Nothobranchius furzeri: one gene and its partners. The protein of the gene in region 1 binds, or shares a complex with, the protein of each later gene. Links are inferred from orthologs where the notes say so. Each region holds a gene or a part of one and is shown in the gene's direction. Other genes may lie near its edges.

What was found.
Region 2: seh1l (region 1) and nup37 share a complex: the UniProt entries of both Homo sapiens proteins name them as parts of the nup107-160 subcomplex of the nuclear pore complex. The link is inferred for Nothobranchius furzeri from reciprocal best matches to the Homo sapiens genes SEH1L and NUP37.
Region 3: the proteins of seh1l (region 1) and wdr59 are in contact, whole or in part, in a cryo-EM structure (PDB 7UHY), measured with the Homo sapiens proteins. The link is inferred for Nothobranchius furzeri from reciprocal best matches to the Homo sapiens genes SEH1L and WDR59. Residues at the interface, in NP_112493.2 of Homo sapiens: Asn308, Tyr309, Met310, Asn312, Lys314; in NP_085058.3 of Homo sapiens: Pro713, Asp714, Glu716, Thr717, Pro718, Arg721, Arg837, Glu840, Gln843, His844, Asn847.

What each region holds. Positions count from the first base shown.
Region 1 is NC_091745.1:49,020,934-49,032,057, reverse strand, and holds the start of seh1l (nucleoporin SEH1), read left to right. Parts: upstream 1-5,565; 5' UTR 5,566-5,645; coding exon 5,646-5,756; intron 5,757-6,113; coding exon 6,114-6,164; intron 6,165-8,050; coding exon 8,051-8,197; intron 8,198-8,284; coding exon 8,285-8,496; intron 8,497-11,124. Other genes in the region: ptpn2a (tyrosine-protein phosphatase non-receptor type 2a), read right to left, coding at 1,891-1,947. UniProt on the Homo sapiens protein: Component of the Nup107-160 subcomplex of the nuclear pore complex (NPC). The Nup107-160 subcomplex is required for the assembly of a functional NPC.
Region 2 is NC_091741.1:39,624,363-39,634,350, reverse strand, and holds the start of nup37 (nucleoporin Nup37), read left to right. Parts: upstream 1-4,264; 5' UTR 4,265-4,325; coding exon 4,326-4,385; intron 4,386-4,410; exon of another isoform or gene 4,411-4,627; intron 4,628-5,601; coding exon 5,602-5,799; intron 5,800-5,879; coding exon 5,880-6,001; intron 6,002-9,988. Other genes in the region: parpbp (PCNA-interacting partner), read right to left, coding at 541-695, 809-979, 2,794-2,898, 3,001-3,237, 3,525-3,674. UniProt on the Homo sapiens protein: Component of the Nup107-160 subcomplex of the nuclear pore complex (NPC). The Nup107-160 subcomplex is required for the assembly of a functional NPC.
Region 3 is NC_091749.1:66,261,614-66,271,542, reverse strand, and holds the start of wdr59 (GATOR2 complex protein WDR59), read left to right. Parts: upstream 1-4,205; 5' UTR 4,206-4,271; coding exon 4,272-4,325; intron 4,326-4,972; coding exon 4,973-5,022; intron 5,023-5,424; coding exon 5,425-5,560; intron 5,561-5,708; coding exon 5,709-5,794; intron 5,795-5,874; coding exon 5,875-5,955; intron 5,956-6,253; coding exon 6,254-6,291; intron 6,292-6,617; coding exon 6,618-6,706; intron 6,707-6,886; coding exon 6,887-7,003; intron 7,004-7,110; coding exon 7,111-7,188; intron 7,189-7,283; coding exon 7,284-7,440; intron 7,441-8,568; coding exon 8,569-8,648; intron 8,649-9,029; coding exon 9,030-9,159; intron 9,160-9,387; coding exon 9,388-9,494; intron 9,495-9,589; coding exon 9,590-9,754; intron 9,755-9,929. Other genes in the region: RNA-binding protein NOB1, read right to left, coding at 870-1,133, 1,273-1,417, 1,495-1,592, 1,789-1,995, 2,164-2,307, 2,387-2,518, 2,594-2,665, 2,735-2,868 and 2 more. UniProt on the Homo sapiens protein: As a component of the GATOR2 complex, functions as an activator of the amino acid-sensing branch of the mTORC1 signaling pathway. The GATOR2 complex indirectly activates mTORC1 through the inhibition of the GATOR1 subcomplex.

The sequences.
Region 1 (11,124 bases):
CTGTCACAGAGAGGAAGAAGATTTTAAAGTTAGACATCTGATGGAGTGCGACCTGGAGGTGAACGCCGCTCCTGCCCGAGTACGGTGGTGACAATGACAACAATACAACACAGAGATGAAAGGTCTGTTTGGTTAGTTCCCTGGAAGAGTCCAAGTCTACTGAATACAGTAAGCTGTGATGGGAGTGGCTACAGGGAAACAGAGGTCACCTTTAAAAACAAAACCAGTTATTTTACTGGTGAGAAGGAAACAGGAGCAGGTGATGAATGAGAATCTGGAGCTCTGGTTTCATGTTAGCTAGTCAGCAGCTCCTCTGAACCTTCAGACATCTAGAGGTGGTGAAGACGCCCTGCTGAAGATCAAACCGAGCTGCAGAAGAAAGCTGACTGAAGGGACTTTAAATGTGGTATGGTTGTTTGTGTTCAGCTGCTGGGATTTGAACCCACAACCATCTTTAGGGTCTACAGTGACTGGTCAGACTGGTTCTGGATGACAGAAGGACAGCAGCAGCTCTAATAACCTCTGGTTCTGCAGAACAGCATCTCTGAACCACAACCTGATGAACCTGGAAGCAGATGGACTCCAGCAGCAGAAGACCAAGCCATGTTTCTCCAGTCAGCTAAGAACTGGAAGCTGAGGCTTCAATTCCCTCAGGTTCCCCAGAACTGGACCAGAAGAAACTGGAAAACCTTTCCTGGTCCGAGTCTCGATTTGAGCTGTTGGTTCAGAGTTTGGTGTCTCCAACATGAAAGCATGGACCCATCCTGCCTTCAGGCTCCTGCTACTGTTGGTGTAACAGTGGTGGTGTTGTTCTGGTCCCACTGTGGACCTTCAGGACCACCTGAGCCTGGTTTAACCACCACGGCCTACCCGAGTCTGACCATGTCCAGCCCTTTATGACCACATAGACCCATCTTCTGATGGTACTTCCAGCAGCACCATGTCACATAGCTCAGATCATCTCTAACTAGTTTCTAGAACTGGACTCTAATGGCCTCCACAGTCAACAGATCTCAGTCCAGCCCAGAACCTTTGGCATGTGGTGGTACTGGAGCTTCTCATCATGGATGGAGCTAATGCTGTCATGTCAGGATGGACCAGAACCTCTGGGGACCACTTTAACTTCTTGTTGGATCTATGAGATGAAGGATTAGGTTCCGAAGGCAGAGCGGGTACCAGCCGGGTGTACCTACTAAAGCAGCCTGAATGACCGAGGTTTGAAAAGGGAAATCAGTTTGATTTTGTTGTTATTAACAGTCGGCCATGTTAAAACTCAGGATCATGATCATTCTGTGAACACAAAAACAACTTGGATGTTCTCCTGCTGTCAGAAAAGCAGGTCCCATCCACTCATCATGCTGGGATTTTCTGCTCGTCTTCAACAACAAATATCTCCAGCTGTAGGGCATCCTCAGGTCACAGGTGCTGTCAGGTCACTGCCAGCTTAACCTGGAACAGACTCAAAAGGGACCGGCGGTGCGCACGTGCGCATTTCTCTGGAAGTCCCGTGTACCGACACCGGTGAGTTCTCAGAAACTGCAGCTGACGTCTGCAGGCGTCAGCCAGCAGATAACAGCTCCGGTGGAAGCTCCGCCGCCGCACGCAAGTCAGCGAACGCTAAAGCTGGCTGCTAGTTTCTCATCAGCCCCCCAGCAGCAGCAGCACACAGCCGGAGTTCCGAGTAACAACGGGTAGGACGGTTTACGGGGTAGGAGAAATTCCCGGAACACCGGCTACTGTTCTCAGCAGCCCACGGGTCAATACCACTCAGCAGGAGGCTCGCGGTGGTATCCGGACGCTGCCGCGAGCGCCTCTGACGTTAGCTAGCTAAGTTAGTTAGCTCCTGATCGTCATAGAAACACCGGAGGCCCTGCCGCGGACCCTACTTACGTTATAAATGTTTTGCCATTCGCCGCGCGAATCAATCTCCTTCAGTTCTGCCTCCATTCTGGTTGTGATGGGAGAGGTGAAGAGCCAGGGGGACGAGTAGAGAGCGTTAGCAGCGACGTTCCCCAACTCACACCGTCCGGCTTCGGCCAGCCATCTAGCTGCGCTTGCTGTGTGTAACCTGATGATGAATCCCTGCAGCCTGGGAGCCAGCCCGCCTCCCTCTGACTCACGTGGGTTGCCAGTTATGCATCTCTGCGCGCGCTTCAAGCGAGCGGGAGGCTTTTTTCAGCGCTTGTGCAAAAAAAAAAAAAAAAACTTTATCATCAAAACTTAAACATATTCTTTACTGGCTAAAAACAAAATAACACTCGTTAAATTCTCCGTCAGGTTTTATTTAGTAATTATACAATACACATTTTGTAATTATATAGTAATAACCTACATAATAAACCTGATTTTGCAGTTGTATAATAATACATACAATGATAATAAAGAAATTTGATTATTACAACACACAATGTTACGTTGGATTCAAGCTGGATTTGGAGGAGAGTATGTGTGTGGCTCCAGCATACCACACACGGTGATTGAAGAGGTGAAGATGAACTTGAAGACTGAGGTGTAGAACTTCATTGACTATACTTATAGGTTGAATTTCTTCAGCTGTCTCAGGACGTTCATCCTCTGCTGGACCTTTTTATGATGGAGGTGATGGTGGCTCCCAGGAAGCAACATGAGTCCACCATCATGATGGGAGTGTCAAACGGGGTTACAGGTGTGTGTGTGTGTGTGGGGGGGGGGGGGGGGGGGGGGCTACCTAAAGTCCACAACGACCTCTGCTGTCTTCTGGGTGTTTAGCACCAGGTTGTTGTGGCTGCACCAGGACTCCAGCCGTTCCACCTTCTTACGTACGCAGACTCATCCCCATCAGAGATGAGTGAGATGACGGTGGTGTCGTCTGCAAACTTGATAGGCTTCACAGACTCATGGTTGGAGGTGCAGCTGTTGGTGTACAGCGAGAAGAGCAGATGAGAGATAACGCAGCCTTGAGGGGAACCGGTGCTGATGGTTCACAGGTCAGAGACATTCATTATAGCTGATAGCATGATAGCATGATAGCAACAGGGAAACTCACTCTAACTGTTTTTTTTAATCTTTTTATTCATCTAAAACACAATGAAAACTGTATTTATGTAAGTGTTATATTCAATAGTTGTGTGGAGTCAAAGGGCAAATCCAGCTAGCTACAGCGCTACAAACTTTACTTAATGAAGAGCTATGTTAGAGCCCCCACAGTGGCAATCAGTTAGAGCTACACAAACCTGCTTATCTCAGTGAAGCTGGAAAACAAAATCCTACATTTTTTTTGTCTTCATGGGAGTATTAATATTAAGGAGAAGGAGTACATTCAATAGTTACTCAGTAGAAACCGTTTTTTAAAGAGCAAGTCACCCCAAATCAACTTATTTTACTGATAAACTATATAGACGAGTGTCTAATGGTGCTATAGAGCTCCGGGAGCTGACATCACTTCTCCCGGCATGCAACAGTTCAAATCGAAATGGCGCCATATTGGCATGCAGAAGCCGGCAGCTGGACTATTTGTTATTGTCAGAAAACTCAATCAGACAGGAAATATGGTAGATTCCTGTTGTGCCCCAGGATGCAGAACAGACACGGACGACATAAGGAATGAGCCATCTACAGGATTCCCCAAGATCCGGAGCACCGCAAACGTTGGATCATTGTAATAAAACGCGCTAGTGACCGGGCTGAAATGAAGCTGTGGGACCCCGAGAGTAAAGGTTTTCGCTTATGCAGCGACCGCTTCATATCAGGTACTTAAACAACGTTTCCTCAACTGTGTATGGTGTTTATTTTAAATGCTTTTATTACGATTCTTAGTGGGCTTCCTAAACTTATTTTGGCGTGGCTTTTTCTGTCTTATTACTCATAGCAGCAAGTAAACATCACGTAAAACGTTGCCTCGTGAGTTCTGCGTGCTGCCGTTTACGTGTTTTATGATCACAGCAGTTAACCGGCTAAGCTGTATTTAATTTTTAAGCAATGGTTGATCAATTGTCAGATCACACATAAAAAGCATTTTGGATTGCTATTATTTGTCTCACCGAGTCAGATCTCAGACAGATCCTGAGACGCTCCTGCCTGACATATTTATTTTATTCATGGAAAACAATCAAACTAGTGATTTCTCTTGGTGTTCAGTTTATACATTCAAACAGCACAGCACTCTATTTAAACTACTTACGTGTAAATCTGTTATTTGTCCATCCATCCATTTTCATCCGCTTATCCGGAGTCGGGTTGCGGGGGCAGTAGCGTCGAGAGGTCCAGACTTCCCTTTCCCCAGCCGCCTGAGCCAGCTCCTCCGGGGAAATCCCAAGGGGTTCCCCGGCCAGATCCGGTAAGAAGTCCGCTCCGACAGCTTCTGGCGTTTTAAAAAAGTATCCCAGGGGCACGGTTAAGGGTCGGAGATGTTTGGTCTATTTAATTTCTGACTATATAAAACGATTTCTTCAGTTTTAAAGTGTGAAGTAAACTCAGACGAAGTAAAATCCAAGCCGATCCCGTTCATGTTCATGTTTACGATCCGTGTTTGTTTACCATTTTTTCCCTGCCAATATGGCGTCTACTAACTGAGAGTCACGTGGGGTCCGGAGCTCTATAGATGTGTGTAGTCAATAATTTGGCACTTTAGTGCATCTTATAATTTAAATATGCAGCCTAAAACTGTCAGTGTTGCGCCCCCTTCAGGTAAAAACTCTGCACTACATTTGAATTTAAATCTGCCATCACTGTTGGCTAAGAGGTACCCTTTGAAGTCAGCTGGTACATTATGATGTCACAATGCCGTTGTGAACCTGTTTGTGTGTGTTTGTTAACGGCTCCGCCCTCTCGGTCAGCCAGGCAAACGCATTCGTTGCATTTTTCAAACATGAAGTGGGAGTGTAGTAAGTTTCTTGTAGTGTGACTTGCTCTTTAATTAAATGAAATGCTACAGCATTTGTGGCCATAGCAACTCATGAGGGGAACTCATTCTCTTATTGTTTAGCTAAAAATGCAATAATAACTGTATTTATGTTACAGGTTAAACACGGTCATCTCCCCTTCCCTTCTTAACAAAACCAAAGTGTAATTCCCCAATGCATAAACATTAACATGCTGGTGCTGGTGGTGATGAGCTACATCGTAGCTACAGTTGCCCTGGGGCTCATTGTGTGTGTGTGTGTGTGTGTGTGTGTGTGTGTGTGTGTGTGTGTGTGTGTTTGTGTGTGTGTGTGTGTGTGTGTGTGTGTGTGTGTGTGTGTGTGTGTGTGTGTGTGTGTGTGTGTGTGTGTGTGTGTGTGTGTGTGTGAATAACTGGTTGTATTGTAAAGTGCTTTGAAGGGGGTTGTAGAACCCTAAGAAGTGAGTGACTTATGCTTAAGTGTACCATGAACATCTCATTTGTATCTAAAATGCAGTAAATTCGCCAAACTTGGCAACCCTGTTTGAATTGAAGCACCCCCCCCCCCAATGTGGTTCACTGTTCAAAAACCTCTCTCTCTCTCTCTCTCTCTCTCTCTCTCTCTCTCTCTCTCTCTCTCTCTCTCTCTCTCTCTCTCTCTCTCTCTCTCTCTCTCTCTCTCTCTCTCTCTCTCTCTCTCTCTCTCTTTCTCTCTGTCACGTGACAGGCGGGAGCTTGTGCTAACCAGTGCAGTGCAGCTAATCTCGCTGTTGTTTTTCTTCTAACCATGTTCGTAGCTCGGAGTATCGCTGCGGACCATAAAGATCTGATCCACGATGTCTCTTACGATTTTCACGGCCGGAGAATGGCAACATGCTCCAGCGACCAGAGTGTGAAGGTGAGCTGACTCAAGCTAGCATGTTAGCGTCACCCACGTTCCTAGCTTCTTACTGAACACACTCGTGTTGTGTGCTGGCACATTATGCGCTTATTAGCTAAATTAGACAAAATTTGTTTTAAAACTATAAACTAATTTAAAGTATTGCATGTTACTGTACTTACATTGTAGCATGCAGGCTAATGTGTGCAGACGTTTGACTGGAATATGAACGTATCAGTAAAAGCTTCAATCACGTAAGGCAGCGAGTGTTGTGTTTTAGGTAGGAACCATAGGAACTCATTTCGTGTGTTGTCAGTTTAAAATTAATGTGTGGAGATGACGTAACAGCAGCTGTTTATTGTGACTTCCTGACAGGTTTGGGACAAAAGTGAGAATGGAGAGTGGCACTGCACAGCCAGCTGGAAGGTAAACAACCTGCTTACGTTTGTTTACATGACCGTAAAAGCCCTTCCTGGGTAATCTTTGCTGTTTCAACAGATTTACTATTGCTCTACACTCACGGGCACTATCAAGTTTGCCAATAGATCCGGGTTGGACCTCTTTTAGACCTCTTTAGAACCACCTTAATCCTTCATCTCAAAGAGCCAACAAGAAGTTAAAGTGGTCCTCAGAGGCTCTGGTCCAACCTGACATGACAGCATCGGCTCCAACCATGATGAGAAGCTCCAGTTCCACCACATCCCAAAGGTTCTGGGCTGGACTGAGATCTGTTGACTGTGGAGGCCATTAGAGTCCAGTTCTAGAAACTAGTTAGAGATGATCTGAGCTATGTGACATGGTGCTGCTGGAAGTAGCATCAGAAGATGGGTCTATGTGGTCATAAAGGGCTGGACATGGTCAAACTCTTCAGCTTCTCTTCTTCTATTCTATACAACATTCAAACCATGGAAATGTCTTTTCCTCCACATTCTGATGCTCAGTTTCAACTTCAGCAAGTAGCCTTCATCATGTCTAGATGCCTAAATGGACAGTGCCGCCCGTCATGCGATTGGCTGAGTGGAAATGTGCAAAGCTGTAGAATAGGTCAATCAATCAAAGCTTTCAATCAATCAAAGCTTTATTTATAAAGCGCCTTCCGCAACCCTGTCAGGAAGCCCAAAGCGCTGAACATGGTACAGTTGTAAGTAATTATATTGAATAAATCAACAATAAAAGAAATTCAAATTACAAAATACAAATTACAAAATACAAAATGGAAATTACAAGATAGATGAAACATTCCGGTAAAATACAAATGTGTGAAACACATTTGGATTGAGTGGATGGATTGAGTGTACCAATGAAAACTGTGGAATGGATTCAACATAAAAGAGTGCCAAAATCAAACATGTTCTGGAAATGCCAAGCGGAGGAGGTGTGTTTTTAGGTGATTCTTAAAGACTGGCAGAGAAGGGGACAGCCTAACTGAGGGTGGCAACTGGTTCCAGAGTAACGGTGCTAGGACTGAGAAAGCTCGGTCCCCACGGGTACGACACCTAGACCGAGGGACAGCGAGCAGGCCTTGGTCAGAGGAGCGCAGAGCGCGTGATGGGGAGTGTCTTTTCAGGAGTGTGGCTAGATAGGGGGGAGCACCACCCTGGAAGAAATGATAAACAAAGACGAGTATTTTGAATTGTGAGCGATAGGAAATCGGAAGCCAGTGCAGGGAGGCCAGAACTGGACTGATGTGGTCCCGTTTCCTGGTCCCAGTCAGGAACCTGGCAGCGCTGTTCTGCACAACCTGTAGGCGATGCAGTGTTGACTGATACAACCCTGCATATAGAGAGTTGCAGTAGTCAAGCCAAGAAATTAGAAAGGCATGCAGTACCCGCTCCAGGTGGGCTCTTGACAGCATATGCTTGATTTTAGCAAGGCGTCTCAGGTGAAAGAAACTGGACCGGATCACAGAATTGATGTGAGCATCAAATTTAAGTCCTACATCAAGTTTCACCCCCAAACTGGTAACAACTGGTTTTGAGTATGGAGAAAGAGGGCCAAGATCAGCATAACGATCCACATTCCTGCTGTTGGGGTGAAAAACAATGAGCTCTGTCTTTCCCTCATTCAGATGTAGATAGTTGGACATTAGCCAAGACTTCACCTCATTAACACAGGAGACAAAGGACTGAATAAAGTGACCTTTCTCCTGACACAATGGAGAGTAAATCTGGCAATCGTCAGCATACAGATGGAATGATAGGCCATGTTTACGAAAGATTGACCCCAGAGGTAGCAGATGTACCTATGAAGTGACTGGTGAGTGTATATTTGTGTATTTTGGACTTATCCATGATGTAATGATGTGTGTGCAGACCCACAGTGGATCAGTGTGGAGAGTAACCTGGGCCCATCCAGAGTTTGGGCAGGTCCTGGCCTCCTGCTCCTTCGACAGAACAGCTGCTGTCTGGGAGGAGATCGTAGGGGAGTCCAATGACAAACAGAGAGGCCTGAGCCACTGGGTTTGTACAGCCACAGCTCAGTCATTAATGTTTTCATAGGTTTGCCTGTCTCGAGTCCTGACCCGTGTTTCTGGTGCTCTGATTCAGATAAAGAGAACAACACTGGTGGACAGCAGAACATCTGTAACTGATGTGAAGTTTGCTCCTAAACACATGGGTCTGATGCTGGCCACCTGCTCTGCTGATGGAGTGGTGAGGATCTACGAGGCTCCTGACGTGATGAACCTGAGCCAGTGGTCTCTGCAGCACGAGATCTCATGCAAGCTCAGCTGCAGCTGTATATCCTGGAACCCTTCCAGGTTAGATGATAATTATTTCACTTAACACATGGGGGACATGTTTGTTTCTGTAATCGGTCATTTGGAGAATTTCCTTAAACCTGAGCATCACTGTTGCTGCTGCCATTCCTTTATGTCTTGTTTTATGACAAGAGGTCATTACACAAGAGGTGTTACAGACTGTGAGAACTTTCTGTCTTTCTTTGTGGACAAAGTCAATAAGGTCAGATCTAGCATCTCTCCTTCAGCCTTATCGCTGCCTCTCCCGACTCCAACCAGACCCATCATCCTAGATAGCTTTGCACCTGTTTCTTTGCCTGAGTTAACCAAACTAGTTAACTCTATGAAGACCTCTGCATGCCCCCTCGACATCTTACCCTCATCTTTGTTTAAAAGTGCTTTTCTGTCCATCGGTCCCATCGTGCTCTCTATAATTAATGCTTCTCTGGTTTCTGGTCACGTCCCTGCTTACTTTAAGAATGCTGTAATCCACCCGCTTCTTAAAAACCGGGTCTTGACCCCTCTCTCCACAGCAGCTTCAGACCCATCTCTAAACTTCCGTTCATCTCCAAGATCTTGGAAAAGGTTGTGGCTAAACAACTCACAGCTGCTCTTGATGAACATAACATCTATGATAGCTTCCAGTCAGGTTTTCGTAGAGCTCATTCTACTGAAACAGCTCTTCTTAGGGTCTCTAATGACCTTCTGACTCAGTGATGCAGGGGACTGTTCTGTTCTGGTCCTGCTGGACCTGACTGCAGCCTTTGACACTGTTGACCATCACCTGCTACTGGAGAGGCTGAGATACTGGGTAGGCCTTTCAGGATCTGCTCTGGAGTGGTTCTCCTCTTATCTGTCTTAGCGCTCCTTTTCTGTGGCCGTCTCCAAGTTTAGGTCCTCCACCACCTCTCTTACCCATGGTGTCCCACAAGGTTCTGTGCTGGGGCCTCTGCTCTTCCTCCTCTATCTGCTTCCTCTTCAGCACATCCTGAGCTCCTTCAAAGGAATCTCCTACCATCTTTATGCAGATGACATCCAACTGTACATCTCCTTTAAGCCCCATGAGATGTCTAAGCTGCAGCTGTTTCACACCTGCTTAGACTCTATCAAAACCTGGATGGTGGGAGCTTTCAGCTGAATGAAGATAAGACTGAGATCCTCATCTGTGCCCCAGACAAGCTGGTTCCCAAAGTCAGAGACTCTCTTGGTCAGCTTGCTTCTCACACCAAACCTTCTGTCAGGAATCTTGGTGTGACCTTTGACCCAGCTCTCACCCTGGATTCTCATGTCAGTTCTCTTGTTCGCTCTTCCTTCTTCCATCTCAGGAACATTGCTAAGCTGAGTCCCATTCTATCCCACTCTGAACCTGAGACAGTTCTCCACACCTTCATCTCCTCACGCTTAGACTACTGTAACTCTCTTTTCACGTGTCTGAGCAGAACCTCCCTGAACCGTCTACAGGTGGTTCAGAATACCTGTGCTCGGCTTCTGACCAAGTCCTCCAAACACACCCACATCACCCCGCTTCTCCTCCAGCTTCACTGGCTGCCAGTCAACTTCAGGGTTCATTTCAAGATCCTGGTTCTGGTCTTTAGGGCCTTACATGGACAAGCACCATCTTACATTGGTGATCTTCTTAGTCCCTACACTCCCAGCAGGTCCCTGAGGTCCAGTGACCAAAGCCTACTGGTTGTGCAGCACCAGGCTAAAGACCAAAGGTGACAGATCATTTGCTGCTGTGGCCCCCAGACTCTGGAACTCTCTTCCCCTGAGCCTGAGATCAGTGGACTCAGTGGTCTCCTTCAAAAAGAAGCTGAAGACTCACTTGTTCAAGCTGGCTTTTGTATGACCTTCTTCACCACTCTCTCTTTATTCTGCTCTCCCCACCTATTCCACCTTCCTCAGGATCCACTGATTTCCCTCTTTCCTATTCACTCTCTCTCTTTCTTAACATTTTTTCTTTTAAATCCCAATTGCCTATTTTTGCTCATTTTAAATAAATTTTTACACATTTTTTAAATGCTTTTTTATATTTTTACATTTTTTTGTTTTTGTGAAGCGCCTCGTGATTTTTATCTTGAGAGGCGCTATAGAAATGATATTTTCTTCTTTCTTCTATGACAGAGATGGCTAACAGCTAACCCTGAAAGGGTTTCTCACCCCGATCTAGCTGATTATTCCAAAAGAAAATAAAGCGGCTTTAAAATTTTTCATTTCCAGAAGGGAGCAGATGTAGGAAGGCAGCAGTCCGAGTGTTCCCTTGTGCGTACCGTGCTGCTTGAACCTGGCGTGTGCCAACTTCTTCAGGTCTCGCCACAACATTTCAACTGGGTTAAGGTCCGGACTTTTGACTGGATTAATCATTCCTACGTGGTTTAGCTGGAATGCTTTGGGTTATTGTCTTGTTGCATAATCCATTTCCATCCTGGCTTCAGCTCCCTGACTGATGGCTGGAGGTTCTGGCCATGTTGGTATGCTGAAGAATTCAGCCATAACAATAAAAAGGCATAAGCTAGTAAAAACAGACGCAGCATAAAAAGAACGTTCACCGGCCAAAAGCTAGACAAAAGAAGTGTGCCGAAGTTTGATTTAAACTGAAGGAGGCTGTTCCACAGTTCTAGAGCAGCGAAACAAAAGCACGCTCCCCAC
Region 2 (9,988 bases), on another chromosome or scaffold:
TTCCCCTCACGATCGAACATCCAAATCATTTTTGATCATCGCTTTTGTTGCAGAGCCAAAAGCCTGGACGTGCAAACGTAATCTGCAGAGGTAGGATCTGCAGAGCTCTGCGTTTGATCATCAAAGTGAGGGAGCCGCACGCGGGCAGGCTTTGATGTGGCAGAGCTGAACATGCTTCAGCAATCCAAATGTTATCACGAGAAGCTTAGACGGGAGCCATTATTGGGGTTTCTAGGAAATAACGAGGAGCTGCGGCAGTGCAGGTGGATGTTGTGATCGCATGTGGACTTTCAGAGCACAGGCGTTCCCACTGGATTCAGCAACGAGCCCTTCTCTCGCATTCCTGAGAGAATCACAAATCGAACCCAAAATCCACAAATCTCCCATCCCCTCACAGCTTTGCAAGGTTCAGAGTTTGAGTTTGTTTCCAAATAAAAATACGTCTGAGCTCTCCTTTAAGTCGCACACCCAGCTGGTTAAAAAACGGACTCAACTTGAACGCAACAGGAGGAAAATGTTGTAGTGCTCAGTGTTGAGTACCTCGGGTCAGGAGTCTCCCCCAAAATCTCTTCCAGGATGTCTAGAAACTGGACGTAATCAGACAGGCCTTTGACGTGCTTCCTAAGCGGATCGGACTCTGCTGGAGCGTAGCCCTTCCCTCCGAGCTGGATGGCCCTGACGAAAGACGTCACAGCCTGCAAAAAGAATGAAAGAGCCTAAAATGCTGATGTTGAAGTGATAACTCAACGTTCGTCTTTGGCTTTCTTGTGGCACACGTTGCAAGAAGCCGAGAACATAAGTTTCTCACCAGGAAGAGAGAGGTTTTGTTGCTTCTTGCAGCATGCTTGATGTCCGTAAAGGCCTGTTGTCCAAGAGAGCGACATGGAACGTCGAGGGTGAGCGCCAAGGCCATGTCGTTTTTAGAGTTCACCAGCAAACTCAGATAAGAGCAGAAAACCCGTCTCACAGCCGTTTTCACCTTTAATAAACAGAAAACATCTAATTTAAGTCTGAATGCACCAGAAAAGGGAAAGACACCACGTTTAAGACCAGTACGTCAGTTTACTTTAGAATCCTCTGGCTCAAAACATCCACAGCTCAGCAGCTCTAACCCTGATTTAATTCCTGAAAAAAGGAACGTGATCGATATCACAGCAGCAAGACTTTGGTGGAAACTCGTAAATTCACACGTGACAGAAAGGGAAGGAGGCCATGTTACAGAAGCTCCACGCCATGCTGTGTTTTAAACATCTGCACCGTAATTGGGTTCACACTGAGCTCTTAAATCTGAGTGATTTGATGTAGAGATCCTGGCATTAAGAGCAGGATGAATTCCAGATGGGACTGGAAAAGTAAAACCACGGATTATCGCCTGCAGGTGAAAATATTTTATTATTATGTTTTAATGATGGCAGAAGTGAAGAAAAGAGGTTACTTTACGCACTGCAACGTCACGAACGGCCTGATTTTGAGATCCCACGGGTCAAATGCACAGCCAGGTCAACTTACCCTGGCTATGACACATCCTACAATCTTTTCCCCTCACAGGAGACTCGAAGTCTGCATGTAGCCCCTTTAATCAGAGCCTACTTCCTCACACCAGCTGGACTGCAGAGATAATAAATAATGAACAATAAACATTTTCTCCTCCAAGGTCCATCACCGTGGAACTATTTAAAACAAACTCCTTTATTCCCAGATGAAGAAGAAAAGAAGATTTTATAATTAAAGATAATCATGAAATATTGCCATTTATAGTTATAAATAATGGTATGTTTCAATAATCTGTGTTCAATGATTGTTTAGTATGTTTACTTGGCGAGGTCACAACATTTGCACTCACAAGTAAAGTTATGCTAATGCATGACACAAGAGTTAACCTTGTGCCCACATTCGGAGTCTCCATCACAGAGGGTGTGTCTGAGATGCTTGGTAACATCTCTCAAACTTGTCAGCCCCTGATTGGCTGGCAAAACCATAATATCAATTCTTTAAAACCAGATGGCTTTGGGTAATTAGTCAGTTCTAGAGCGAGCTTCAGACCGGCCATCTTTAGCACCTCTCTAACCAGAAGGATTTTGACACGTCGTCAAAACCTTTTTCGCACCTGCGAAGCTGAAACAACAAGATAGTTTGCTGCAGAACAAAGCTGACACAAAACTCCTTCACAGTTATTTTTAAGACGCTCGGTTTCATCTATCGTTGTGACCCGGGAGACATCCCAGGGCTGATTTGGGCGCGTCGAGGTTTATCTACGAGCCAGGTGCAGTGGGGTCGTCGGTCCCGGGACATCTTGGATCCAACGGGGGTCTTCCAGAACGAGTGAGCTAGACACAGCGAGATAGCATCTGAATGTGGTTCTGATGATAACATCTTTATAGTTTATTTGCAAACCAAATTCTTTCCATCCAGAACTCAGCTCTGAGAACGGAGATTCTGAACACATTATATTCACACATAGGTTCCAGACACCATCCTTTAGTTCGCATCCACTCACAGCAAATAATAGTTTAAACAATTTGTCAAGTCTTAAGTGTTTGTAAATCAATTCTTACTTTGTATATAAACCTGACTGTTTCTTGAATCAAAGCAAAGTGTGTACAATCCCCTGATAATTAAAAGAATCCTAGGATCTTCTAATTAATCATCCTAAGACCAAGCAGGGGATATTCTATTTATATAGAGTATCGCAGCTATTGGTCACAAGTAGTGGTATTAATATAAATAGCTTTTCAAGCAATTTACTTAACCCAAGTTACCCTCTATTATCATTACAGCACCAAGTGGGCCCACCTGTGAGCTGCAAGGTCTGCTTCTGCTGGATGGTGTTGAAGGGACTGGTGAGTTTGGCCCCTCTGGGACCTCCATGTTACCTGATAAAACCTCAAACAGCTGGATCTTGGTGAAAAACAAAAAAGTTAAGAGCACATTAGATTTTTCATCAGTTTTATCTATAATTCAATAACCAAATCAAGTCTCCACTAACTATTTACTGCTCACCGAGCCTACGGGCTCCTCTGGGTCAGAGTCCACCACCTTGAGCTGTTTGTACATGGACAGGACATCAATCAGATCCAGCGTGTTGGAGCGTTGCAGGAAAGATTCATACGCCTCCAGGATGAGATCATAGTTCTCCAAACGTGCAGAGCTGGGGGGCGGCAGGTGAAGTCTGTCTAACAATAAGTGTTTCCAGGCCATCAGGACGTCACTCAGAGCCACTCTGAACTCTCCATTCAGCTGTCAGAGGAGGAGAGAAGAAGTCACAATTACTGATGGGTTGGAACCAACCAGTCCAAAAGGAGAAAGACCTGCAGAGGTCCAAAAAATTAGCAATCAGAAGTCTCATTCGGGTATTGTCATCAGGTATGGACGTTCTATTATTATGTTTTATTACAGAGTGCATGCCTCTGTGAAATAAATATGAAAAATTTTAAATATATGTTAACAAAACTAAAACCTAGGTTATTGGAAGATTTGATTTTTAAAATTAATCTGCATCACAAACAGGATGAACTAACGCTCACCTGTTTGTTCACTTCTGCCATGGCCACCTGCAGCACCAGCAGCATGCCGTCAGCTCCATGAATGGTGGTCCTTTCAGACTCCAACATCCTGTGACACTCTCTCCTGAAGGTTTTCACCATCACCTTGAGGCGGTCCCCTAAAGCTGTCATTATATCCTATAACAAAAATAGCAGAAAGAGCTCTTTAAGACTGTTTTTGTGTTGGTTTCAAGATTTAGAAAAGGGTTAAGTAACATTTACTAGAAGAGCTTTAGTTTGTGTTTGAAAGGCAAATAAAATATGTTGAACATAAATGTAAAGCCTAACATCTTCAGTCAGATGTTGTGGCCAGCAACTGCTGAAATAACACAACTAACGTGTTCCATTATATTTATTTTTATTTTCATCACCTGTATGTACCCCCACACACTCGACACATTTATATTAAAATTTGACCCCAAAAAGTGGGTTTAAACCGTTTAAACAGTTCTAACCTGTTTTCTCGTTGCAGCCTTCCAAGTCCACGACAAAGGCAGCAGCTGTTTTGAAATTTTAAATCGACTGTGACGCCATGTGCCTTCTGGCCAATTAAATTGAAGCAAGCACACAGGGGGGCTTTGTACAAATGTACTTTTAGATCAATCACATTTTACGAACTGTTAACAGTTTACTGAAGTTGAAGTTAGCATAAATTATGATTAAGTACGATTGTATTTTCATGTATTTAAAAAAATATGTATGATTTATTTAGGTTCGTTGTACCCCTTAACCCCCTGATATTTTCAAATGATGGTACGTTCCACAAATCGTATCCGGAAGTAGATGAGAAAACCATCGAGCGCGCGGCGTTGTTTATGCAGCAATTTCACTGCCAGTAGTTTGGTAAAGTATTGAAGCTATTACAGGGTTTGAAATGGAAATATACAATATATAGAAATAATTGGATCATAAGTTGTCGGTTTGAGCATTTACTGCTAAAAACCAGTAATAATTGGAGCCCCAGGTTTTAGCTCACTGTTATGTGCACGCGTGGAGTGGACAGAGTTTACTGGAAATACATTTATACGCGACAAAAGAGGCAGTTTTTGTTCCCAAATGTTCGGGATACCCCACTGTTGTAACTGGTAACTGTAAAGCCGTTTACAAAAACTGTAGTTTAATGTAACTCAAGTATCTTTCCTGTGTAATTTTTCTATTTATGATTTATTCAAGTTTGATTTGTGTTTACAATTTGCCGAATTAAACAGTGACCTAAATAGCTTTGTAGCATCATTCGCAATGTTTCTCACTGATTTTACCAGGACTACCTTCCAAAATTTGTAAAAGAAAAGTACAATTTAAGGAAACCAGGTGATCAAGCCCTCTCCGTTATCCTCAGCCAAAACCAGCCTGTGCCTTTTAGATTTTATGATTTAAGTTATATAATTTTTAATTAGTCTGAACATCTTTCAGATTTATTTTTGTGTCATTTTAAATAAAAGTTAATCAGTAATCCGGGTTTCCAAGTCGAGAAGGGTTTCTGCCTAAATAAACAAATACAAGAGCATAAGCAGTTCACTCCTAACTGCTTTACCCTCAGCAGGGTCATGGGTAGCTGGTAACTCCAGCGATCATCAGGCGAGAAGCAGAGAACAGCCTAGATAGTTCTCCAATCCATCACAGGAACGCACAGATAACCAGTCACTCACACTCAAAACTTGAGACAATTAACCTGAAATGCATCTCTTAGGTCAGTGCCATAGCCAGGACTTTAACCTGCAACCTTCTTGCTGCAAGGCTACCAGCTATGTCAATGTGGAGCCCCTGCATTTGTGCATTATATTAATATTAATAACTTAAAACTAGCCATTGGATGAACTAAGAAATAATGAAGACATATTTTTTCAAGCACATTCTGTGAAAAGTGAGAAGTCATCAAAATGATAGACCGAGTAACACGTTTAACAGTTGTGAGTAAAGTAACCAATTACATTATTACCTGAATACAACTGAGACAAACTGAAACAACTCATTACTAGAACAGTTTTACCGGATCTGTGCAGAAATGATCCTGTTTAATGTGCTAATTTGCCCCTCTTTGTTTTGATATAAATAACAGTGGAAGTCCCGGTTCAGAGCCAGCTTTCCCAGCATACACGTCATGCAGGAGGGCGCTATCCACAGTCCCAGCTACACTGTGCCATGTGACGACTACGTCCATGTGGTGGAGTTCAGTCCCTTCAGCTCGGGTACCCCCGTCTCTCTCCTGGCTTACGGTGGGAACCAGTATGTGGTGGTGGCCACCTGCCTCTTCCAGGTTAGAGATGCAGCTCCACACAGCCAGGTTTACCCTTCACATCGATTATTTTTGTCTTTCATGTGAATTTGCATCAACAGGAGGAGGATATGGAGGTGGAGGGAGTTGAATTCAACATACTTCGAGCTTTTCATCACGAGTTGCAAGTCGAAGTTTTGGCTTGGAGTCCAGAGTCTCAGCTGAACAGGATACCTACCATCAGGTATAACATTTTACCATAATTATTTTGTAAATCTTTGCTGACTGGTAACAGAATACTGTGTTATTATGTGTCAATTGCCTTGCTTGTTCGGTGGATCACACGTGTAATCTTAGCAGTGTCAACCCTAATACCTTTTTTTGCAAGTCAACTATATTTTCATAGTTCCGTTTTTCAGATCTAAGTTGTGTGTTTATATATCCGACGGTGGGCGGAACCAGGACCCAGCTGGGGAAATTCCCGGTGGCCCTATTTGAGTTCGGTGTTTTTTGGGTTTTTATTTATTTATTTATTTTTTCGGGCCGGTGTTACTCTGTAGATCACCTGCTGCTGATGAGAGGATTTCTCCTGTCAGGAACAGGTGAGCTGCTGCCAACCTAACCCAACAAGCTTCTGTTCCTAGAAACACGTTCTAGCCCAGAGTGACCTGTTATTTATGATTTTATAATTAATATTAAGTGAATGCTCAAAACTCACAGGTGATGGGAAAATAAAATTAAATAAGCCTGTATATTTTCTCCCACAGCTCAGCTCTGTTAGAAATAAGCAGATGTCTGCTTCAGCTGGACAATATCAAGTATAAAAAGTGCTCACAGATAACTGTTCTCTTAATGAAGAAACAATATTAATTATTTTTAAATTTAATATTGATTTTATTTCATTTCTAAGGTTTAGATGTCTGCGAACATTACAGAATTTTTGATTAGTGTAAATAATACACACTATTATTAAAGGGACTTTACGGAGTTTTGAATTTTGATGCTTGCGATTGCCCCCTCAGGCCAAAAGCGTAACGGCAGCTTCAATAGTAGGCTCGTGCACGAGGCGCACATGCTGTACGTGCACACTCCTTAACGAAAATAGCAGCTGACAGTCCCGTGTGTGTGTGTGTGGCCCGGAGGACAGGAGAACGCACAGCTAATTAAATAAATAATTTGGTTCTGTACTTTTCTCTTCAGCACAGCCGACAAAGGTTTATGATGGGTCAGTCCTCCTGCATGCTCAGATCATTCCCTTCCCTTGCTTGAAAAATTGTTCCAAAATGAAAGTTGAACCCACATCTTTTTTATCTGTGAATTCAATGCCGTTCGGCGAGTCTCAAATAAAAATTTGGGCATCTTACTGTAAAAAAATATACCATTAATGTAAAAAAGAAACTCAAAATGAACTATATTTACATCCAGAATCGAACCCGGGTCTTCTGCACAGGAGTCCGCCGTCTTACTGGGTGAGCTATAGCATCAGTGACATCTTTTGTATCTGTAACATTTATATCCTTGATGACAGCTGAAACAACGTTCAAAGAACGGTTCGTAGAGAAAATGGCAATTTTGTTGCTAATTTGTAGGAAATATCTAGAAGAAAGTAGCTAAGGGTCCTCAGAAATGAAGCTAGGTTCATCACTAGGCGTTAGGAACAGCGACAAAGTCGCTGAGTTGGCACTGCCTCTCTCTCTGCTGTTAAAGCTACTGATAGCAAATGTTACGGGCGATGCCTGAGCGTGAACGTGCATGAAGCAGCCTGCTCGACCCGAGCATCTCTCTTTTTCTGTGATTTTGCAGAAAAACAGGCAATCACAGTAAAAATGCCAGGGCTCATTCTACAGGACCAGGGCATTGCAGGAGAATGTATGAAGAATACATTTATTATTTCTATACATGTTTTGGCTGTCAAACTTCCATATTGTCCCTTTAATAACAGGTCTGGATGTGGTTTGGTCTGAGGTATAAAACTCTGCCCTGGGTCTAAAGCCCTGCCGATAGATTTAGTTTCTATAAACAACAACAAATAAATAACAGCAGTTGGATTCTACTTTGTTTCTTAAATTTAATCACGTAGTTTTGCAAGTTCTGTACGCTCACATGTTCAACAGCAGCTCTGCCAGCTGACTGGTTCTTTAGTAACTAGTGACATCAGTACAGTTCTGCTACTGAGCAGCATGGATGCATCAGAGGATTTCGCTGTAGTCAGTGTTCATATAGATTAAAGACAGGATAGGATATATAATCATTCAAATATAATATTATAATGCTGTGAACATGTATAGATACTTTATCATACGTTCTCACCAACCTGTAACTTACCAACCTTTTTTTTCTCAAATTGCCCCAGACGGGCTATACCTGACATGCCTCAGATCCCCCTAGAGTAGTTTAATATATATATATATATATATATATATATATATATATATATATATATATATATATATATATATATAAATAATTAGGGCTGAGCAATAAATAGAAAATTTATCGTTATCGAAATTTCTGACTCTTATCGAGATAATTTTTCCCATGTCAATGAATTTGATAATAAAAAATGAAAAGATGTTTGTAGGTTGGCATTGTTCATGTCCCTTTAAGAAGCTGGACCACCTTGAGTCACGTAAAAATGTGACTCAGCGTAGTACATGTGACAGCCCCATCTAGTGGACAACATTTGTTTCTGCACATACCTGTAGTTATCGTCCATGTATCGTTATCGAGGTGAAATCCTCAATTTATCGTGATACTGATTTTAGGCCATATCGCCCAGCCCTAATATATATATATATATATATATATATATATATATATATATATATATATATATATATATATATATATATATATATGTATATATATATATATATATATATATATATGTATATATATATATATATATATATATGTGTGTGTGTGTGTGTACCTATCAATATATATCTAGGTATATGTAGATAGGTACATATAGATAGGTAGATATACAGATACCGCTGTAGTCGGTGTTCAAAATAGATTCTATCTATCTATCTATCTATCTATCTATCTATCTATCTATCTATCTATCTATCTATCTATCTATCTATCTATCTATCTATCTATCTATCTATCTATCTATCTTTTCTCTCTCTCTCTCTGCAGTGATGCGGACGCTGAACCGATCTGTCGTGGTGAAGAGGGAGCTGAGCCAGAAAGCCAGGCTCTCGATTTACCGGTCGATCTACGTCCCAATCCTCACCTATGGTCATGAGCTTTGGGTAACGACTGAAAGAACGAGATCGCGGATACAAGCGGCCGAAATGAGTTTCCTCCGTAGGGTGGCCGGGCTCAGCCTTAGAGATAGGGTGAGGAGCTCAGGCATTTGGGAGGGACTCGGAGTAGAACCGCTGCTCCTCCGGATCGAAAGGAGTCAGTTGAGGTGGTTTGGGCATCTGGTCAGGATGTCTCCTGGCGCCTCCCTGGGGAGGTGTTTCGGGCATGTCCTGCCGGCTGGAGGCCCCCGGGTCGACCCAGGACACGCTGGAGAGGTTACATCTCCAATCTGGTCCGGGAACGCCTTGGGGTCCTGCCGGAGGAGCTGGTGGAGGTGGCCGGGGAGAGGACGATCTGGAGCTCCCTAGTTGGGATGCTGCCCCCGCGACCCGGACCCGGATAAGAGGAGGAAGATGACGACGACGGCTGCAATATAACAAAGAGTGAAAAATTGATGGGGTCTGAATACCACCCCTGCTCTGCATTGCTGCTTCAACTTCTGTTTAGCGATGTCAACATGGTTGCAGGCTAGACTGCCCAATTTCACAGCCGTTCACTTCCGGTCTTCCGGGTCAACAAATGACCTGGTATCTGGTCTTAACACCAGCCTACGAAGACTGGGTAGGCCCCGTCTTTCAGGATGCAGCCCCTGAATTTGGACGTAGCCTCATGTGTTGCTGGCTAAAGTTACACTTCCGTATGGGAACTAGGTATGCCTCACTCCATCAATCAATCAATCAATCAATCAATCAATCAAACAATCAATCAATCAATCAATCAAAGCTTTATTTATAAAGCGCCTTCCGCAACCCTGTCAGGAAGCCCAAAGCGCTGAACATGGTTCAGTTGAAGCAGTAGCTCTCGTACTGTACATGCTGAAAAATACAAGAAAAAGTGCTGCTAGACCCATAGTAATGACCAAAAGAACAAGACCAGGCACACAAATGAATTTACTCCTCAGGGTGGCTGAGCTCAG
Region 3 (9,929 bases), on another chromosome or scaffold:
GGCAGGTTTTGTTCTGGGATTCAGCTAGAGAACCGGGACCAGCTGCCGGTGCCACAGAGCCTACAGGTCCAGTTTGAACTGGTTCTGTTCTGACCTGAACCTTTGAGTTAGGAGCCGTTTTGTGCAACTGATAGAGAAGTCTGCCAAAGCCCTTCAGGGGCTCTGAAGAACCGATCCAGAACCATTTGGAAGGACCTGGCTGCTGGTCAGGAGATCCGATCCGGATCAGGGGCCCGACAGCTGTTCTACTGGGTTCTTGGTTGCATCGTTAATCAAAAGCCAGCTGCTCTGACAAATGGAGCCACTGACTATTTTCGGTGTCATTAAAGGGGACATAATATAAATATACTTCCTGTTTGTGCTTCCTTCTGCGTCTCTGCTGCCTTTACACCGTTTGGTTTCATGACTGGAACGCTTCTATGAGCCGTTTCAAAATGCCCCATATTGTGATGTCACAAATAACTTGACCCGGTTCATTCAAACCTTCTCCACATCCTGTTTACTAACGGCTGCGTGGAGTGCGGAAATCTAGAAAGCAATCATTAAAGGTTTTTAGAACAGGAAGTTGAAACGGTCCCATGTGGACCCAAAACCAGGAGCTTGAATGGAGCGGACTAGAGGTGTGGAGGACACCTGCCGGTGCGAGAGGTTAAAGATAACATTATTTGGCATTTTAGTGAGTGTTCAGAACCAGAACTGATGAACGGATCTGTGTTTCTGAGACAAAACGGGTTTAATAAGCATGAGTCATCACACATCTGTGGTTCTGTTCATCCTGGGACAAAACCAAGCAGAACACAAACCCAGAACAACAACTATACAGGTTGTTCCTCGTTTCCATCAGACTCCGCCTCTAGTTAATGACGTCATCACTTCTTGAACTTCCTGCGGGTGGCGTTAGGGTTGGTCCGCCTCCTGCCCCCCCCACACTGCTCGTCTCGGATGTGCAGGTTGGCGGCTCGGCTGTAGACGTCGTTCTGGCAGAAGGGTGAGGACCCGGCCACGTAGTCCGGGTCCAAGACGTCCGTCTTCTGGCGGGCCTTTCTGGAGAGCCGCTGCTGGGGGAAGCGCTGGTCCTCCACCAGGTGGGGGTTGTTGGCATGTTTGCCGCCATGCGGGAGCGGCAGAGAGTGCTGCAGCAGACAGAATGGGCCAGAGCCTCATCACATGACCCAACAGAATCAGGTTCTGTCTACATATCTCATCTAGACCACATCCTGAGAGAACTGCTGGTGACCTTTCAAAATAAAAGCCTGATTCTGAGCTTCTCACCCGGAGCCCTCGGGGGTTCAGGACTTTGGGGTTTCTGGAGAAATGCATCTGGATGTTTCCATCGTTGCTGACACTCACTGCCACCTTCTTCAGGGTCTGGTTTCCACAGTGAGGACAGAAGACTTTGTTCATGTTGCTCGTTGTCCTGGAATTAAGGAAGTTCTGTTAAGTTCTGCGGTCAGAGCGAAGGAACACCAGGAGGAGCTGAAACTCAAAACTCACTTAAAACAGGCGTGACATCTCAGGATGTAGTTCCTCGTCTGTTTGATCACCATCCCATTCACAGACAGGACATGGAGGCCCATCTGGATCAGAACATTCTGCACATGCAACAGAAGCTCCGGGTTAGTGAGGAGGAGGATCCTGCGTCAGAACCTGAATTATTAACGTTCTCCTTAGCTGGGTTCCAAACCACTTAGGACTCGGCTGAGGAGAACAAAGGTCACATGATCCTGTGCTAACACACACACACACACACACGATCAACACTGTGGTTCTGGTGGAACCATCCGTTACCTGCATGGCAAAGTCGGTGGTCAAACATCCAACTATGACATCAGCTGGAACCGTCCAATCAGCAGAGTCCATCTTCACCTGTTTGATGTTACTGGGTGTGATCCAACCTCCTCCATCATCTTCATCATCTTCCTCTTCGGGCTCGTTCTCTTTGTCCTCGTCACCTGAAACTGTTGTCTCTGTCTGTGGTGAGGCTCCGCCCTCATCCTGAAAACAAACATGCGTTCAGCTCCGAGTTCTCTTCAGACAGCCCACATCCATCAGGTAGGGCCCAGAGTTTACTGAAGAACTGGGTTTTGAGGACCCAGTTCTCTCAGTCAGTTCTAGATCTCTAAGTCACAGAGGAACTGGTTCTGATCTGGGATCTGAACTCACCAGTAGAGCCAGCAGGTCCTCGTCGATGCTCGGTACGGGCTCTCTCCAGAACTGGAAGCTGTTGAAGTGTTCTGTGTCGGTGGTCTCGGAGGACATCTGCGGTTCCCCCTGCTCTTGGTTTGGACCTGAAGCCTCCACTGGACCCTGACTCAACAGAAGCAACACCAGACAGTGTGTAAACATCCTGAGACACCAAGCAAGCAGCTGATTGGTTGGGACGCACCAGGAGGCCCAGCAGGTCATCACTGATGGTCAGAAGCGGATCCCTCCAGAACTGGAAACTGTTGAACTGTTCGGTGCTGGACTGGTTGGACGTCTGTCTCTCTGCTGTTTTCTGTCTGCTGTCTGCAGGTCTCTGGAGGGACGAAAGCCCAGACGCTCAGAACTCCTGCAGTTCCACCAACAAGTAAATCTACTTTGGTTCTGGTACCATAGAGGGAAAGTGGAACCCTGCGATGTTAACCGGTGCCTCTGGGTGGCGTTGTGTACTCTGGATGTTCACCTGGAACACAAAACAATCTATGTCAGTAAAGTTCAGGTGTGTGTGTGTGTGTGTGTGTGTGTGTGTTACTTTTCTCTCCGGCTCCTTCTTCAGGTGCTGTGAGCCCACGTGCTCCAGGTGTAGCTGGTAGGTCAGAGCCAGAACTTTGATGTCGGTGGACGACAGACTTGGATAGTCTCCGGTCTTCTTGGAAAACTCAGAGACTGAAACCACAAAGAGACAAACAGAGGGGTCTGGTGTCAAACCCCAAACGCAGGACCTGGTTTAGGTCAGATCTGGGGGTTCTGGAGAGAGTTGGGTTAGACCTGGAAGATCAGTCCCATTAGCTGATGTGTGTGCTAATTTTGTTCTCTACATTTGACCCATCCCCTGGGGGAGCGATGAGCTACAGACACAGTTGGTGGTTTAACTTGGTTAACACCCCCCCCCCCCCCCACCCCCCCACCCCCATCATCTTAATGCTGAGTGTCAAGCAGGGAGGCATTGGGTCCCATTTTGTCAGTCTTTGGTATGACCCAACCACTAAGCCTCTGAGCTGGTAAGGTTTAGGTTAGACCTGGCAGGGGCGTGTCCAGGGAGTGGCCTGGGGTAGCAAATGCCACCCTTGGAATCTGATTGGCCACCCCATGTGCCACTGCACTGAATTCCCTTTAAATAGGCTTTTCACTGTCCACAAAAGGCTTGGGGTTAAAAAAAAAAAGCATAACCATTGGTGCCACCCATGCACAAAGTGGTGCCTCACCTGGGCCACCCCATTTTAAAGATCTGGACACACCACTGGACCTGGGAGTTCAAGACTGGGTTTAGGTTAGACCTGAGGGTTTGGTTACCATATCTGATGTGTTCTGGATGTGGATCCTTGAAATGAAGCTGGTACGGCAGGCAGGCCAGGCTCCTCCTGGTGGGTTTGTCTCTGATTTCATCCACCACATCTCTCAGCGTGTAGATGTTCCTGCCGATGTCCTGAAAAACAGACCAGCTGATCTGGACCTTCAAGTCACTTTAAACTCACGTTTCTGTAAAATCTAAATAACCCGATCAGCTGATCGGTTTGTCTACTGATACCTGCAAAGGTGCCTTCTTTAAAAAGGCTCCAGCGTCCGCGACAACATGCTCTATCAGGGTCTGCGCCATCTTGATGTGATGACAAGCAGCTGGAACGACCAATCAGATGAGAGGAAACAATCCCATTACGTGTAGAGGCATTCAAACTACCCCAAATGTGTCGGAAATTTTTTAATTATTCTATGTGGATTTAAATGTGATTTGACTACATTTATGTTGCCTTGGGGGTGGACCCCAGTTTTTGTAGATATTAATCATGTTAGTTGTCATGGAAACCAAGACTACTATTCTAATTAGGGGTGAAAATACTTCTAGCTATAATATCATTTGGCGAGACGAATCAAACTGATTAAAGAAAAGTTAAAACGTCTGAGAGTAATAATCAATATATGTCTATAATGCGAATCCTCGAACGGTGTTTTCTAAAACTTACATAATCTGTCATCTGTCTCTCGATCTGTTGGCGTTTGTTCCCACCGCCACTGAACGCAGCACGATTACATAATAGTCACGTGGTGATTTGTTTGGAATAAGAAGGAAGATGGCTGCCCGTTGGAGCAGTGAGAATGTGGTGGTTGAGTTTCGGGATTCCCAGGTGTTGCTTTGTTTACTTGTTTATTTGTTAGTATTTCTGGGCGGAGCCTCAGGCGAGACTGAAGCTGAAGAGAGGAGCTTGCCTGTAGAACCGAATCTAAACGGCCCCTGTTAGTTGTTACAATGTGATCAACTAGTTTTAAAATCGATAACTTTATTGATCACGTGGTTTCAGACCCGCACACGCAGGTCGGTAGAGCGTGAAACTAATAAAATTATAAAACTCTGGAAACAGCAGTTGTGTTACGTTCAGGTGTCCACCTGCAGCAACTGTGTTACGTTCAGGTGTCCACCTGCAGCAACTGTGTTGCGTTCAGGTGTCCACCTGCAGCAGCCGTGTTACGTTCAGGTGTCCACCTGCAGCAACTGTGTTACGTTCAGGTGTCCACCTGCAGCAACTGTGTTACGTTCAGGTGTCCACCTGCAGCAGCTGTGTTACGTTCAGGTGTCCACCTGCAGCAGCTGCGTTGCGTTCAGGTGTCCACCTACAGCAGCTGTGTTGCATTCCAGCTTGTGTAATCCAGGAACCCAATTTCTGTTGGATTTGTAGTGATAGTCCTGGTCTGCTGTCAGTCTTCCTGTTGTTTGTGAAATCATGTGACTTATCATGTGACACGGCTGATAAATGGGTCTCATGTTGTGTTTCAGGCCACAGCCATGTCCGTGGACTGCCTGGGCACCCATGCGGTGCTGTCAGGGTGAGTTCCTGACACCAGCGGCTCGATTTTCTCCTGTGCTGAAGTGTCTTTGAGCAACCCGTGGAACAGATATTAAGATGTCAAAGCAGTCAGACGTTTGATCTTAAAATAAACATTTTATTTATATGGAACTAGAATAAATCCAGGTATTTTGTTTGATCTGAAATATTTTGGAAATTACCCAGTCAGACAGGCTTTAGTACAGATTCATTGATACTAAACATCATCTATGGATCAGAACCTGTGTGTGTGTGTGTGTGTGTGTGTTTTCTATCAGAACTAGTTAGTTTACTCAGGACATTCCAGTATCTCAGGTGTTTGATCAGAACATACAGATCAGTTAAATGCTTAAAAACCTGAGGATGAAAAACAAGGTAATCAGCTGATGTTGTTGCCATCCAGCCGCCACTTCCTGTACATGGTGAACCTGGAGGCCCCGTCTGAACCGCCTCGTAAGATTGCACGCCAGAGTAAGTGGGATGTGGGGACGGTCCAGTGGAACCCCCACAGGTCAGAGGCTCACGTCTTTGCTGCCTCGGTGAGTTAAAGTGACCTTCTTCAGCTTTTACAGAGTTTCTGCTTTTGTTCTCCTGATAAATCTGATTGGATGAACTGTCATCAGTCCCGCCTACATAAATACCCTTACCCAAACCAAGCCAAACAAACGTGTACGTGTGTCTCTCCAGAGTAACCAGCGTGTGGACCTGTACTCGTGGAGGGACGGCTGTGGCGAGGCCCACACCTCCCTGCTGGGACACACTCGGGTCATCAGGTAACAGCAGTCAGGAGTCCGTCTCACCTGTCGGCAGGTGAGGACGGTTGAAACTCACTGTGATGTGTTGGTGTCCTCAGTGATCTGGACTGGTCCTGCTTCGACTCGGAGCTCCTGGCGACCAGCTCCGTGGACACCTACATCTACATCTGGGACACCAGGTGAGAACAGGTGAAACCTCGGTATCAGGTTAGATCAGAACCATCTGACTGAGTTCTGACCCAGTATGACCCAGTAACGCAAACGTGCCACTGAGGTGGAGTCTGACCCACTGAAGTTTCTGATCAGCTGATTAAATCAACACCCGCTCAGTCCAAAAGGTCCTTCTCCCGGTTTCACCTTCAACAGCTGCTGAACTGGGTCGGTTCTGAATCTGTTTGAGCTGAAGCAGCTGTTGATCATAAAACCCACATTTACCCCGACCGTTCAGCGTCTCATCATGTCTGTTTGACTCCACAGAGACACCAGGAAGCCTACTGTGGCGCTGTCTGCTGTCGGTGAGTCTTCAGGATAAAAACGCATGTTCAGACACTCAGGTGGTGCATTCAGGGACCCTCCGATATCACAAAGATTATGTCGACCTCTACCATCAGCAGCTGGCTTTGTGTCATAAACGTACCACTGAGTGATCTCATTAAAGCTATATATATATATATATATATATATATATACATGTATACATACATATATATATATATATATGTATACATACATATATATATATATATATATATATATATATATATATATATATATATATATATATATATATATATAATAGTAACATCTGTCTGATCTGTCCACCTGTCCCTTTGTCCACCAGCTGGAGCGTCTCAGGTGAAATGGAACAGGAAGAACCAACATCTGCTGGCATCCAGTCATGATGGAGACGTTCGGGTTTGGGACAAAAGAGTGAGTCACACACGAGTCCGAGTCCAGCACCCAGATTATCTGTCCTCAAACCTGGACCAGGAGCTTCCAGGTTCTTAGAGAAACTTGAACGTTTAAAATGCTTTAAAAAAGTCCAGGAAGTTAAGATTCTGGTTGTGATGATGGTATGTGCGTGCGTGTGACAAAATTCCCTCTGAGCAGAAGCCGAGCACAGCAGTGGAGTACGTAGCGGCTCACCTCTCCAAGATCCACGGCCTCGACTGGCATTCAGACAATGAATATATCTTTGCTACGTCCAGCCAGGACAACTCAGTCAGGGTGAGGACACAACTGTCCCCAACGTGTTTACAGAGCGGAGGAGCCATTAGCTTAGGTCTCAGAACCCCTGGTCTAGTCCAGTGTTTGTGTTTTCTGTGTCTGTGCAGTTCTGGGATTACCGACAGCCCAGGAAGTACCTGAACATCCTGTCCTGTCAGGTTCCAGTGTGGAAGGCCCGGTACACGGTGGGTCTGAGCTCAGTTCAGCCCAACAGAGACACGAAGGATCAACTAGAATGGCTTATGGTTAAATATTATGATGTGTGTGTACGTTCGTTCAGCCTTTCTCCAATGGTCTGGTCACCATCATGGTTCCTCAGCTGAGGAGAGAAAACAGTTTGTTACTGTGGAGCACCCTCGACCTTAACAGTCCCGTCCACGCCTTCGTTGGACATGACGACGTGGTTCTGGAGTTCCAGTGGCGACCGCAGAAAGAAGGTGAGACCTGCAGACTCAGACTTTAGCTGAGATGCATAGTTACCGATGCTGTAACCTTCCCCGTCTGTCTCCATGGTAACAAGTCCTGTGACCCCTCCTCTCTCTGTCTCCATGGTAACAAATCCTGTGACCCCTCCCCTCTCTGTCTCCATGGTAACAAATCATGTGACCCCTCCTCTTACTGTCTCCATGGTAACAAATCATGTTACCCCCTCCTCTCTCTGTCTCCATCGTAACAAATCATGTGACGCCCCCTCCTCTCTCTGTCTCCATGGTAACAAATCCTGTGACCCCTCATCTTACTGCCTCCATGGAAACAAATCCTGTAACCCCTCCTCTCGCTGTCTCCATGGTAACAAATCATGTGACCCCTCCTCTCTCTGTCTCCGTGGTAACAAATTATGTGACCCCCCTCCTCTCTCTGTCTCCGTGGTAACAAATCATGTGACCCCCCTCCTCTCTCTGTCTCCGTGGTAACAAATATGTGACCCCCCCTCCTCTCTCTGTCTCCATGGTAACAAATCCTGTGACCCCTCATCTCTCTGTCTCCATGGTAACAAATCATGTGACCCCTTCCTCTCTCTCTCTCTCTCTCTCTCTCTCTCTCTCTCTCTCTATCTCCATGGTAACAAATCCTGTGACCCCCCTCCTCTCTCTGTCTCTGTGGTAACAAATCATGTGACCCCCCTTCCTCTCTGTCTCTATGGTAACAAATCCTGTGACCCCCCTCCTCTCTGTCTCCATGGTAACAAATCATGTGACCCCCCTTCCTCTGTCTCCATGGTAACAAATCATGTGACCCCTCCTCTTTGTGTCTCCATGGTAACAAATCATGTGACCCCCCCTTCCTCTGTCTCCATGGTAACAAATCCTGTGACCCCTCCTCTTTGTGTCTCCATGGTAAATCTCTGAACTCTTAACTGATTTCCTTGTTTTTTTCCTCGGTCTGAGTCTCATCATCACCAAACATGATCTGCTTGGGCCTGAAGGTTCTGGTTCAGATTCGAACAACACAAATCTTTTCTTGAACATTTTAGATGCTGACTGACAGAAACTGAGCCATTGAGTCCGTTGATGGTTAGGTTGAACCTGACTTGTGTCAAACTGATGGCTGACTGTCTTGTGCAGGCTCTAAGGACTTCCAGCTGGTCACCTGGTCCAGAGATCAGACTATGAGGATATGGAGGGTTGATCCTCAGCTGCAGAAGGTTGGTCCTGGGTTCCACCTTGGGGCGATGGTGGCACTGGAGTTGAGTGCGCGCCCCGTAATCGGAAGGTTGCAGGTTTGAGCACCGCTCAGTCTGTTGTTGTTGTGTTCTTGGGCAAGACACTTAAACCCCCTTGCCTTCTGGTGGTGGTCGGAGGGACTCGCCTCTGTCAGTGTGCCCCAGGGCAGCTGTGGCCACAATGTAGTTAATCACCACCAGGGTGTGTGTGTGTGTGTGCGTGAATGACTGATTGTGTTGTAAAGCACCTTGGGCGGTTCCGGGACTCTAGAAAATGCTATATCAACTACAGGCCATTTATCATTTTACCATTCTCTGAGCCAAGACACACAAGGTTCTGATTGGCTTACTGTTGTTGTGTAGCTGTGTGTCAGTGACATGGTTGAGGACCTGATGGAGGGGATGTCTCTCACCGTGGAGTCGGAGAAGTTCATGTCTTCCCAGGAGCCTGAGAGCCAGCAGACCGTGGGCCCCGATACAGACAACCTGCAGGGTGAGGTCAAGCTCTAGGCCCAGCAGTGTGTGTGTGTGTGTGTGTGTGTGTCATCCACGTGTTTGTCCTCTAGAAGCAGAAACAGCTGATCGAACATGTGATCAGCCATTGTCCTGAGACCATCTGAGGAATGGATCAGAACGATGTAGAACCCAGCAGAACTCGTGGTTTAAACTTGGTTCCTCGCTGTGACATCACACCTTAAGGTTTTGACGCTCTGTTTCCCAGATCCAGACGGCGGTCATCAGGACTTGGCAGCAGGTTCTGGTCTCGCTCAGACTCTTCAGCAGGAGTTCTCTCTGGTCAACCTGCAGATCAGAAACGTCAACGTTGAGGTGAGACTCTGACAGGTGGAAGAAACAGCATCGCTGATGGGTTCTATTGGACCCGTTCAGTCCAGCTCTGATGACTGTTTGTGTTTTGGACTCAGATGGACGCGATGAACCGAAGCTGTGTGGTGTCGGCCCACTTCGGCAGCCATCAGGTCCACCTGGTGGTCAAGTTCCCGGCCCAGTACCCCAACAACGCAGCGCCCACATTCCAGTTCACCCCACCGACAACCATCCCCTCTGCAATGAAGACCAAGATCCAGAAGGTACCTGAACGCACCGCAGCATGGTGCCGGACACACATGCTGGGTCTGGTTCTTTATTTCTGACCCATTCTTGGAGAGCAGGTAAACCATTCAAATGTTCTGGAACTCCTTTCAGAACAGTTTTCACATACTGTCAACTTACAGAACCGGTCCAGAGCCTGGTTCAGAACCCCTG